Cricetulus griseus: one gene and its partners. The protein of the gene in region 1 purifies or fractionates together with the protein of each later gene. This does not show direct contact. Links are inferred from orthologs where the notes say so. Each region holds a gene or a part of one and is shown in the gene's direction. Other genes may lie near its edges.

Evidence for each region. The genes of interacting proteins can lie anywhere in the genome.
Region 2: the proteins of Ppp2r1a (region 1) and Cttnbp2 purify together in Homo sapiens (affinity purification with mass spectrometry; 3 studies listed by BioGRID and IntAct, with this or other methods). This does not show direct contact. The link is inferred for Cricetulus griseus from reciprocal best matches to the Homo sapiens genes PPP2R1A and CTTNBP2.
Region 3: the proteins of Ppp2r1a (region 1) and Ier5 purify together in Homo sapiens (affinity purification with mass spectrometry; 3 studies listed by BioGRID and IntAct, with this or other methods). This does not show direct contact. The link is inferred for Cricetulus griseus from reciprocal best matches to the Homo sapiens genes PPP2R1A and IER5.

What each region holds. Positions count from the first base shown.
Region 1 is NC_048602.1:19,078,512-19,082,156, reverse strand, and holds part of Ppp2r1a (serine/threonine-protein phosphatase 2A 65 kDa regulatory subunit A alpha isoform), read left to right. Parts: intron 1-142; coding exon 143-257; intron 258-362; coding exon 363-433; intron 434-855; coding exon 856-990; intron 991-2,609; coding exon 2,610-2,783; intron 2,784-3,108; coding exon 3,109-3,169; intron 3,170-3,645. UniProt on the Homo sapiens protein: The PR65 subunit of protein phosphatase 2A serves as a scaffolding molecule to coordinate the assembly of the catalytic subunit and a variable regulatory B subunit.
Region 2 is NW_023276806.1:208,097,558-208,101,302, forward strand, and holds the start of Cttnbp2 (cortactin-binding protein 2), read left to right. Parts: upstream 1-1,112; 5' UTR 1,113-1,221; coding exon 1,222-1,302; intron 1,303-3,745. UniProt on the Homo sapiens protein: Regulates the dendritic spine distribution of CTTN/cortactin in hippocampal neurons, and thus controls dendritic spinogenesis and dendritic spine maintenance.
Region 3 is NC_048598.1:36,655,441-36,659,185, forward strand, and holds the start of Ier5 (immediate early response gene 5 protein), read left to right. Parts: upstream 1-1,400; 5' UTR 1,401-2,093; coding exon 2,094-3,014; 3' UTR 3,015-3,745. UniProt on the Homo sapiens protein: Plays a role as a transcription factor. Mediates positive transcriptional regulation of several chaperone genes during the heat shock response in a HSF1-dependent manner. Mediates negative transcriptional regulation of CDC25B expression.

The sequences.
Region 1 (3,645 bases):
CTTCACCGGGGATCGTGTGGTGCTGGGATCAGGTCCCCAGTGCTGTGGCTTAGCATTGTCCCGGTGCCTTCACCTCAGTTTTTGCGTAAGCTCTGGGTGGCTGCCAGTCTCTCAGCGCTGCCCCTCTTCTCTTCGTGTACAGCTCCAGAAAGCAGTAGGGCCTGAGATAACCAAGACAGATCTGGTGCCCGCCTTCCAGAACCTGATGAAGGACTGTGAGGCCGAGGTGAGGGCCGCTGCCTCCCACAAGGTCAAAGGTTGGTGCTGGCAACCAGAACGCAGCTAGATGGGTGGATGTCGGAGAGGCAGCAATGGGATTGGGCCGTGGCGTCTCACCAGCACCTTCCCATCTCTGTCCACAGAGTTCTGTGAAAATCTCTCAGCTGACTGCCGAGAGAATGTGATCATGACCCAGATCTTGCCCTGCATCAAGGTAATGGCGTACTTGGGTGTAGGACTTGAGAATGCCAGAGAGGTGAAGATTTGGTTTTCAGTACAGTCCCATCCAAGCTAGATTTGCATCCTTCTAGGACACACAGGAACTGGGTTTTAACCATCATGGGTTTGGCTGTAGGCAAAATCGTGAGGGTTACACAACTGACCCTAAGGACCTAAGGGGTGTGTTTGCCCCTCAGAGGCCACCGAGTTCCCTCATCCACAGAGCTTGGGGAATGGGGCAGTGGCTGCTGGAAGCAGGGCTCACATAGCAAACAAGAGAGGACTTGTGAATAAGTGCAGTGCATGCCTGAGCTGCCCTGCCTATGTTACACGTGGGAGAGTGTGGTCTCCTCAGGCCAGCAGGGCTGAGGTCTGTGCAGCCACTCAGACACTGAGCTGCATCCTTCTCCTCCCCAGGAACTCGTGTCAGATGCCAACCAGCATGTCAAGTCAGCACTGGCTTCAGTCATCATGGGCCTCTCTCCCATTCTGGGCAAAGACAACACCATTGAGCACCTCTTGCCACTCTTCTTGGCTCAGCTAAAGGATGAGGTAATAGTACCAGGAAGGTTTTCAGCTCTTTGCAGAGATGACAGACTGCAGTTCGCCGGGTTGACCAAGAGTATTTTAGAGTCTTGGCACCACACAGCACACACCACACTCCCTTCTCAACGACAGGTGTGAGTGTCTGCTTGTTCACTCTTGTTAGACATGCTTCATGCGCCCTTCACATTGCACTCATCCTTCCCCTGAGTGCTGAGGGTATAAAAAAGACCAGGACAGTGGTGGTGATATTTACAGCCCCACAGAGTGTTCCCGTGGAGAGGAACAGACGTAGTTCCATTCAGATACTGTCGGTACTGGGAGAGGTGCGCCATGGTTTTTAGGCTCATGTGCCACAAAGCCCCTAATACAGTGGCATAGAAAGTTACCATTACTCCTCTCGCATCGTCCCAGCTGGTCCTGTGGTGAGGTATTAGCTTTGCTGGCCTGGCTTTCTTGGTCTGAGGTCACAGCTATAATTTTATCTCTTGGCTCATTGAAGGGCTTCTCTCTAGCTTGTGTCTTCTACATGTTCCATTGACATAGCCAGTCAGGTCACCATACTTGTCTGTGCAGGTGGCCTAGACCACAGAAAAGAAAAGATGTCACTGTGGTGACAGCTCAGGGAATTGGATTTGAATATGTAGACAAACGCAGTGGCTGAAAGAGATCTTTTTAGGAGAGTGTAGCCAGTATTAGGGAGAGGTGAGAGAAAGGGCCAGTGTTCTTGGGGTGCCAGCCCAGAGTGATGCTACCCATTCTAATTCTTTTTTTTCTGTTTGTTTGGTTTTTTGTTTGTTTGTTTTTAAGATTTATTTTTATTGATTATGTATAGTGTTCTGCCTGCATGTATCCCTGCAGGCCAGAAGAGGGCACCAGATCTCATTCCAGATGATTGTGAGCCACCATGTGGTGGCTGGGAATTGAACTCAGGACCTCTGGAAGAACACCCAGTGCTCTTAACCCCTGAGCTATCTCTCCAGCCCCCTTCTAATTCTTTAATGGAGCACTTTGATAGAGTACCCAGTAGCTGATTCTATAATGGCAACCCAGTTCCCAGGCTGGGACATAGATTTCCTCACAGGCTGTTCCTACTCCAGAAGTCTTTAGACAAAGTTAGTGAAGTCACTTGAAAGGTCTTAACATTCGCAGCTCTGGGTCCAGTTTCTATTACCACCACCATAGAAAAAAAACAAAACAAAACAAACTCTTCTGGGTTTGGGGTTTTCTGGAAAAGTTGCTTTCAGTGGCCTCTGTGAGGTCTATGCGTTTGTTCCTATAGATGTCTCTGCTCTGTGGCATGAGTGGGAATGGCTATGGACTGTAAATCAGGGTTCGCACTGCTTGGAGTCTGGCAGTTCTGAGACTCATCACATGTCCTCCCTGGTCTGGCATTAGCAGTTGAAGTGATGGGAATGATAGAGAATGGGTCCAGACACTAGCAACTCGGGCACATCGAGGGGCTCCCATTTCACTTTGCAGAGCCTCGGCTGCTGGGAGACTAGATGGCTGTTTGATTATTGCCCGTCACAGGCGATACCCAGAGGGGAGCTCTTGCCTGCTCCTGACACGCTCCTAGGGCCGCCGTATGTTTTGTGTTCTCTTAACCCGCCTGTCCTCTTCCCAAGTGCCCTGAGGTACGGCTGAACATCATCTCCAACCTGGACTGCGTGAACGAGGTGATTGGCATCCGGCAGCTCTCTCAGTCCCTGCTCCCCGCCATTGTGGAGCTGGCTGAGGATGCCAAGTGGCGGGTGCGGCTGGCCATCATTGAATACATGCCTCTGCTGGCTGGACAGCTGGTGAGTGAGGAGCCAGGTTTTGTTGGCCCTGAGGTGATAGATTTGGGGGTCTGATCTGGTCTGGTCATGGCCCCAGGACCAGGGCTGTGGTGCAGTTACTAGGGGCTTGAAGCCTTGGTGTAGGCATTGAGAGCTGCCTGTGGGGAGGACTGGACTCGGGAACTGGGCCCTCAGCAGATGCTGCATGGAGTTTAGGCAGAGGAAGAAGGCTGGTAGCTTTGACGGGTTCAGCATTGCCTGATTCTCTGGGACCCCTTCCTCCTCCCCTCCCTCAATTCCTTCTCCCTACCCCTCAGTCCCTTACCAATCTTTTTTTTTCCTGCAGGGTGTGGAATTTTTTGATGAGAAACTCAACTCTTTGTGTATGGCCTGGCTGGTTGATCATGGTAAGTACGCCAGCAACACAGTAGGAGGGGTTTGTAGCCATGGCAATGAACAGAGCTGCCATGTTTCCTTGCTATCAGTGCTCACTGGGACCCACTCTGTTGCTGTTAAAAAAAAAAAAAAATCTTGAGAGAAGTGAAGATGTGGGGTGGGTTATCTGGACTGGAGTTGGAGAGCCACCAAGCAGAAAGGCATGGATTTGAACCCTTCTCTTTGATGAAGCATAAGCAAGTCCCTTCCCATCTTGCAGCGTTACACTCATGTGTCTCTCCAGCCCTTGAGAGACTTGTTCCTAATAAGTGGATAAAAAAGAGTCACTGTTTTTTCTGTCAGGCAGTTTTAAGTAGTATGCATTAAATAACTTGAGATACAATTTGCACAAGCAGAGCCTCAGTTAGCATGCCTGAATAATGAGGCAAATGGAGTCTTTCTGTTTGGGTGGCCAGAAGGTGCTGTATGAGAAGAGACAGGGTACAGC
Region 2 (3,745 bases), on another chromosome or scaffold:
TGTGTCATACTTGGATCCAGTTTGGAAAGCTGAGCAGTTAAGGTGTCAGAACTTCTCATTAGGAGCAGGTTGTTTTGTTTTGTTTTAAAGGCTTTGATCTGTGCACTTGGACTGAACATTCCAGTCATTCATCTTCCAGAATTTCAAGTGTGGGATTGGGTTGTCGGTTGATTTGACTGATTTGATGACATCACAGAGACAGTTTGAATGCCTCCATTTGATTTTGTGCTTTCAACACATCTTTAGGGACCTGGAACTTTAGGGACCTCCTTACCATATGGTCTCAGCAAGGTGATAAATTTTCAGATTCTGGGAGTTGGCAGGAAAAAGTAAGAATGGAATTAGAGGCAGGATGGGGGAAGTTAAGTGTCTTGGCCTAACTCATTCGTGCTAACTCCCCAACCATGCATTTCCAATCGACCATTTTGTCAAAGGTTTGTGTGTGTATATTTGGGTTTTCACCTGCACGGAGAAGTTGCTGTTCTCACAAAAGTATTAAGACATCACTGATACTTGGTGGTTTTTCTGGATGGACCCCTGGGGGGGGGGTCTCCACCTTCCTTAAAAAGAGAATCGAACAGAAAGGCACCTAGCTGAGGGGCTTAAAAACAGCAAGGCACAGACTTTCAGCGGAAAGTTGATCGTTTTAGAGGGTGAGCATCGAAGATGCGATTAAAAAAAAAAAGCTGGGTGTATATAAATCAAGAGGATAGAAGTGTTCAGAAGGCAAGAGTTGGGAAATATTAAGAGAGGCACCTCGATGGAGCTAGTCGAAGTGAGGGATGATGGTTCCTCGACCGTAGATCTTAGATTTAGCATCCAAGGGCCTGACATCCAGTTCGGTTTGTGTCCTGCTAAGTCAAGAGTTTGTCAGCCCATCGCCTCCGGAAAGGAAGCTTATTTTCTTTTGCATCCTGGGGTGTTTGTCTCCCCAACACCAGCTCAAAGCCACGCGGCTCGCTTGCTTGCTGGTTCTTGGTCCCTTGGGAGCGGCTGCTGCAGGCTAGCGGGTGGGCGGGGCGCCGGCGTCTGCAGCGCGCAGAGGGTTAAGCGGCAGGGGCGGTGCGCGCGGGAGGCGGGAGGGGGCGGCCGGGCTCCGGGGCTGAGAGCGCCGCGGCCGCAGCCAGCAGCGGGTTAAGCGCCGCCCGCCCGCCCGCCCGCGCCGAGAGCAGAGCCCCGCCGCTGCTCCGAGCTCGCATTCGGATCCGCTAGAGCAGGAAGATGGCGACGGACGGCGCGAGCTGCGAGCCCGACTTGTCCCGCGCCCCGGACGACCCGGCGGGGGCCACGGCGGAGGCCGCGGTAACCGAGTTCCCTGGGCTCCGGGAACGGTGTAGATGCGGGCTGGGGGTGGTGCCCCGGTCCCCGCCGGACACTCCCCGAGGGATGCCCGGTGCTTCCCTGGAGTGCCCCCTTACTTCCTCGGGGTTCCATTTCCTTCTCCGAGGTACACCTTCCCAGGGGTGTCCCCTTCCTTCTGGGGTGCCCCCTCCCTGGTGTGCCTCTTCTCCTGGATGCCCCTTCCTTCCCCCGGGGTGTGCCCTTCGGATGTCCCTTCCCTGGGGTGCCTGCCCCCAAGGCCAGAAGCGGATTCGAGTAGCGCGACGCTACCCCCGCCGCCCCCGAGGTGCTAGGAGCCCGTCGGTCCTTCTGGAAGCTCCCCGCATGCGTCCTTGGGGACCCCTTTGCCCACTGCTGGGGTGCTCACGGAGGATCTCAACCCCCATTGTTCAGCTCCGCCAGGCACCGAGCAAATGCTAGTCTCGGGGTGCCTGACACCTCTTGGGAGACCTGGGGAAGCAGCGAGGGAAAGGCGACCCGTCCGTCGCCAGGCAGGTGTGGAGATGCTCTTTGTGTGCGGGGGTTCGTGTGTCTCGGGGGGGGGGGGAGGACGCCCCGTGGGAGAGGCCCCGCGCCCAGCTGTGGGTGCTGCTGCAACTGAGCGCCAGCACTTTGGGTCCTAGCTGCCTGCTGCTCCATCAGTCATCGGTAGGGACCTTCTTCCCCAGGCGGAGTGGCACTGAGCTGGGGTTTCCGAACCTGGTGTCAACACATTGTTCCTTTCCCTAGCGTCCTCTCTTGCTTAGGCGCCTACCTGCTCCCTTTTTTGGTACTCTTGAGTTGTCTGCACGCACAGACGCTCCCCGGTGGTTCCCACTCCCTCTGTGCCCCGCTTGGGGGGTCTCAACCCACAAAGCCAGCTTGGAAAACGTTCGCAGGTCTGGGAAACAGCTTTTGCCAGAGCGGCAAAGATGTGCAAAGAAAGGCAGGTCTAGGAGCGCCTCCCAGTCTTGGCCAAATCCCGCAGCTCTCTCGGAAGATTCTGAGTGGGACCGAGGGAGCTGAGCAGCCTGGCATGGACGCCCAGGTCCGTATCTCCCATCTCCAGAGCCCAGACCCGGGCTGGGCAGGACCAGGTGTAAACAACCTGGGCAGTTTAATTCCCTCCCCTCTGGAGGGAGGGCTTGCTAGGAGGAGAAGGCAGGGGTGTGGAGGAAGGTACCTGGAGGCAAGAGCTGCGAGAGGAGAATAGGAGGGGTCAGGTACTAATTCCCATTGGTGAAAATAGAAGACTCTGGGCTAAAGTTTTGGGAAAAATAGCGGGTTTTTTTTTCTAATAAGAACTTTAAAGATATTTCAAATGAAACCTTTCCACTTGAGAAATACTTTCATTCTGAGAGTCGGGGACAACGAAGAAAATGGCTATCAAAGCAAAAGTCCCTCTGGGAAGCTGAAACTATTGAGTGTCCTGTTCTCCATGAGGGGGAAAGTGGAGGTGTGGGGGTCGCGCTCCTTCTCCCCCCAGGAGGGTGGATAGTTTGTTTAATCTACTTGGAATACACAGCTTTGTGCCCACAAGATATTTCGGCCACCAGGCAAACCAACACAAAGCATGCAGTTTATGATATGTAAGACTGTAAACAAAATTGCATCGTCAGGAATACTGCTGTGCCAACAAGGTCAGTGTTGCTGTCGGCTGTTTAAAATTGTCAGGAGCCCGATTCAAAGGCTGCTAAGTTGGCAGCTTGATTGTTCTGCTTTGGTTGAGGGAGAATAGCCAGGCAAAATCTCACCGACTGGGACCTCCTCCGTTATTCCCAAGGGATCCCTTAGGCTTCAAATCTGCAGTAACAGTGCTAAGGTATTTGAAGTAACTGTCTACTTTTAAGAAAGAATGTGGTGGCTTTTTATTCAGTAAAACTGGACTTCATTGTTTACAAGTAGTTGGACTTGAAATATGGGGACTCTTATGTTAGCTACTTGAGTAAACTGGCATTTTTTTATTATTTTGAGGATCACATGTAGCTAAAGCTTATCATGAAATCATGGTTCTCCTATCTCTCTGCCTCCTGAAGGCTGGGGTTAGTAGTCCTTACCACCACCCTGCCTGGCTTTGACTTATTATTATTATTATTATTATTATTATTATTATTATTATTATTATTATTAAAGAAAAGCTAATTAGAGAAATCCTGTTTGTCATACTTGTTCTTCTTCTAATGGTTAAAAATTAAAACTATATTTTGCCAACAAAGGACTTAATATATATTTTTAATTATAGTGAGGAATTCTCTTTTTGCCTCAGAGAGATTTATTTCATTTCAAATTGGTTTACGTCTTGTGGAATTTTATATATACATTTGGCAGAATCAAGCTAGTGAAGCCTCCAAAGCAGTTGGCTATTTTTGAAAGTGCATGTTTTTAGAGGGCTTTTTAAAAATTCTATTTAGATTGTTGCTTAGGA
Region 3 (3,745 bases), on another chromosome or scaffold:
AAATTTGGTAGGAACGGGATTGATGTCCTTTGACTTTTTAAAAATAAAATCAGAATGATGTTCGGTGGGTGTGGTATTGCACACCTTTAGTCCCAGCATGGGGAAAGCCAGCTAGTTCCAGGACAGCCAGAACTACACAGAGAAATCCTGTTTCGAAAAACCAAAAATAAATAAATATTTAAAAGAAATTCTGATTAAAATAAATAAAGCTTTGGGGCTGGAGAGATGGTTCAGTCATTAAGAGCACTGGTTGCTCTTCTAGAGGTCCTGAGTTCAATTCCCACCAACCACATGGTGACTCAGAATCATCTAGAATGGGATCTGGTGCCCTCTTCTGTCCTGCAGACATAGGAGAAGACAGAGCACTCATAAGAAAGGAAGAAAGAAAAGAAAGAAAGAAAGAAAGAAAAGAAAGAAAGAAAGAAAGAAAGCTTTGAAAGACCCAGGTCCTGCACCTGTCCATGGTCACTAGCCAAGTCACTGAGTCCACTCAAGATGGATTGTCAGTTGGCAATAAATTTAAGCAAACTGTGTTAGACAGGAGCATGGGACATCTCTGTGCAGTTGTCTTAAGTACCACTTATTATGTGGCATCAGTAAATGTACCCATGAGATGCACTATTACCTGGTACATTCTCTGTGTTCCCCTGAACAGGTCATTTGTAATGCAGCAGGCTCTTATCAGAACCTCACTAAGCTGCTCTCCTGTGGTCAAGCCTTACTCTCACTAGTATTTTTTTCTACATAAACACATTGTTTGGAGAAACCCTACTGTGGGATTAGGTCAACTTTGCACACAGGCTCCATGAAAGTGGCACTTAATTTTATGGTGTCTAAGAGTTGTCATGCATCTTTTGTATAATAAAGTGGGTGTATACATGATTTCTCCTTTTTAGAATTGAAACTAAAAGACTATGAGGTAATTTACAAAGTCAGAAGGCACTAATACAATCTTGTGGCCCCTTTGCTAGGTACTTTTAAGACTCAGTGGATGGAACCCTTTCCCCATACTATTAGCTTGACATAAAACAAATTTACAACATTATTATGGGAACCCAGAACTTCTCTATTTGTATTTTTAGAACTTACTAGATTTCCCCAAGTGTGGATTAGTTCAGTTACTGTGTTAATAAACAAACAACAAATAAAAACAACCAAACAAGCAAACACTTCGGAGAAGTAGGTAACACCTCCTATTTATTCCATTTAATCTGTGTGACAACCGAGAATTTAGGGAACTAAGTGAAAGATGCCAGCTTTAGGTGAGAAACAATGACTTTGTACTTGAACACTGTTCCTTGATAGGCCAGAAGCTTGGGAATTTCTAGAACCTCCCCTTTTGCTTGTGGTCAGATGCTGAAAGTGTGACGCTAATGGGAAAGGATCTGACTCCAAAATAATATCTCAAATACCTCGTACTGTTTGTCGTTCAGGATTGTCCCTGCTTTGTATTGCCATAGCTTCTATTCCTGCCAAGAAATGGTGTGAGCAGCTGGAAACTGCGCACGAAAGGAGCCGAACTTTACTATGTAGTAGATTCCAGCACTCCAAACCAACGAAAGTTCCAATAGTCCGCTTCTAGTGAGGTTGGCTAAGACAGCTCACAAATCGGAATTTGTGACGACAGACAGTTCTGTGGGCCTCACTCACCTTCACCGTTACCTCGGACCCAAATCCCACCGCACTTGGTCCCTGGGCCGCCTGCGATCGCCCTCTTTAAGAGCTTGCTCCGCGGGACTAACGTTTGAACCGGCCCTGGCGCCCCTCCTCCGCCTCCGATTGGCTGGGGACGGCGCACGAGGCACATCGGCCCGCCCAGAACGGTTGGCGGCGCTTTGTGATTGGCGTTCGAGGAGTCTATATAAGGCGCTGTGTGGGGCTCGTTCCGCTCAGTTTAGCGACCAACGCAGATCAGGTTTGTTGTCTGCGGCGAAGAGGCGGAGGGGGCTACGCATCACCGGGTCTTTTCTCCACCGAGCTTTCAGCCGCCGAGGGTGCACCCCAGAGGCGATCCTGTTTCCGCCTCCCTCTCCTCTCGCAGCTTCGGCGTTCACCCCATCGTCTAGGCGCCACTCTCGAGAAGCGGAGGCAGGATGGAGTTCAAGCTGGAGGCTCACCGCATCGTCAGCATCTCCCTCGGCAAGATCTACAACTCGCGGGTCCAGCGCGGCGGCATCAAGCTACACAAGAACCTCTTGGTGTCGTTGGTGCTGCGCAGCGCCCGCCAGGTCTACCTGAGTGACCCGTGCCCTGGCCTCTACCTGGCCGGCCCTACGGGTATCCCGACGGTGCCGCCGCCTCAGCAGCCCGGAGAGCCGGTGGCCGGGCCACCCTCCGGTTGGGGAGAGCCGCCTCCGCCGTCCGCCCGCGCCGCCTGGCCGGAGCCCGAGCCGCAGCCTCAGCGCCCTTCGGTGTGCCACACGCCGGGAACGGGAAGCTCGGAGCCGGTGGCCGCCGTGGCCGGAGCTGGGGACGCTCTCCCGGGCCGAGAGGCAGACTCGGCGGCAGCTGCTTGGGGCCGCGTGGAGCGTCCGCGCGCGATGGCTTCTGGAGGCGGCCCGGACACGTGCCCCGAGGGGCCCCGGGCAGTGCGCCGCCCGTGCGGCTGTCCCCCGGCCCGGGAGGAGCAGCCAGCCGAGGACGGTTCCCCCGCGCCACCCGCCCCGTGTCCCAGGAAGCGCGGCGCAGCGGGAGTGGGTGGTGGCCGCGCTGGCTGCCCGGCGCCCGGCTCGACCCCTCTCAAGAAGCCGCGCCGGAACTCGGAAGAGCAGCCGAGCACCGGCGAGGAGGACACGGACACGGACGAGGAGATGGAGACCGGGAACGTGGCAAACCTCATCAGCATCTTCGGCTCTAGCTTCTCGGGACTCCTACGGAAAAGCCCTGCGGGCGGCCGGGAGGAAGAGGAGGCGGAGGAGAGCGGCCCGGAAGCCGCCGAGCCTGGGCAGATCTGCTGCGACAAGCCGGTGCTGAGAGACATGAGCCCCTGGAGCACAGCCATCGTGGCCTTCTGAGTCTCCGGGGCCCGAGCGGCTGGAGCTTGAGCAGCGGGCGTCCCCGAAGTTCGGCCGTGGCCTTTCCCGGCCCCGAGGACGAGCCGAGACCGTAGGCGCTGGGCGCGTAGGGGGAGACTGGTTGCTGCCGGGCAGCACATCGCCCCGAACGGGGCAGCCCGGCTGGGCCGTGGCTCTCGAGTCTCACGCAGAGAGACCTAGAGTTGGAGGCTTATCGGAAGAGGACGATCGATCGTTAAATTTTGTGTCTGTGTGTGACTGTGTGTGTGTGTGTGTGTGTGTGTGTGTGTGTGTGTGTGTGTGTGTGTGTGTGTGTGTGTGTCCGTGTGTAAGTTTGTCTTGTGTTGTTGAGACTGTTCTGTGGTTCTGGAATGCACCACCCCTTCCCCGGGGCTTGAGACTTTTGGGGGCGCAGACAGGGACTTTCCTCTGCCAGCAGCACAGAAAAGGAAGCTGCTGAATGGCTCGAGGCAGGGGAGTTCCCCATTTGATCTTGGGGGAGAGAGGGACTTTACACACTCTCATGAAAGCTAGAACCTCATCGGCGCGCCGAGTGGCGTTTCCTCACAGGATTTCCTCAGACGAGAGGGAGTTCGCCTGGAGTAGAGACTTGTATTATTTTTCTCCCTCCCTACCTTTCTCTGGCACGGAAGAAGCGCTTCTACCCTGTGATTACTCTGGGACAGCAGAACATTAAGGGACCTTCAATTCCTCAAAGGGGATAAAAAAGC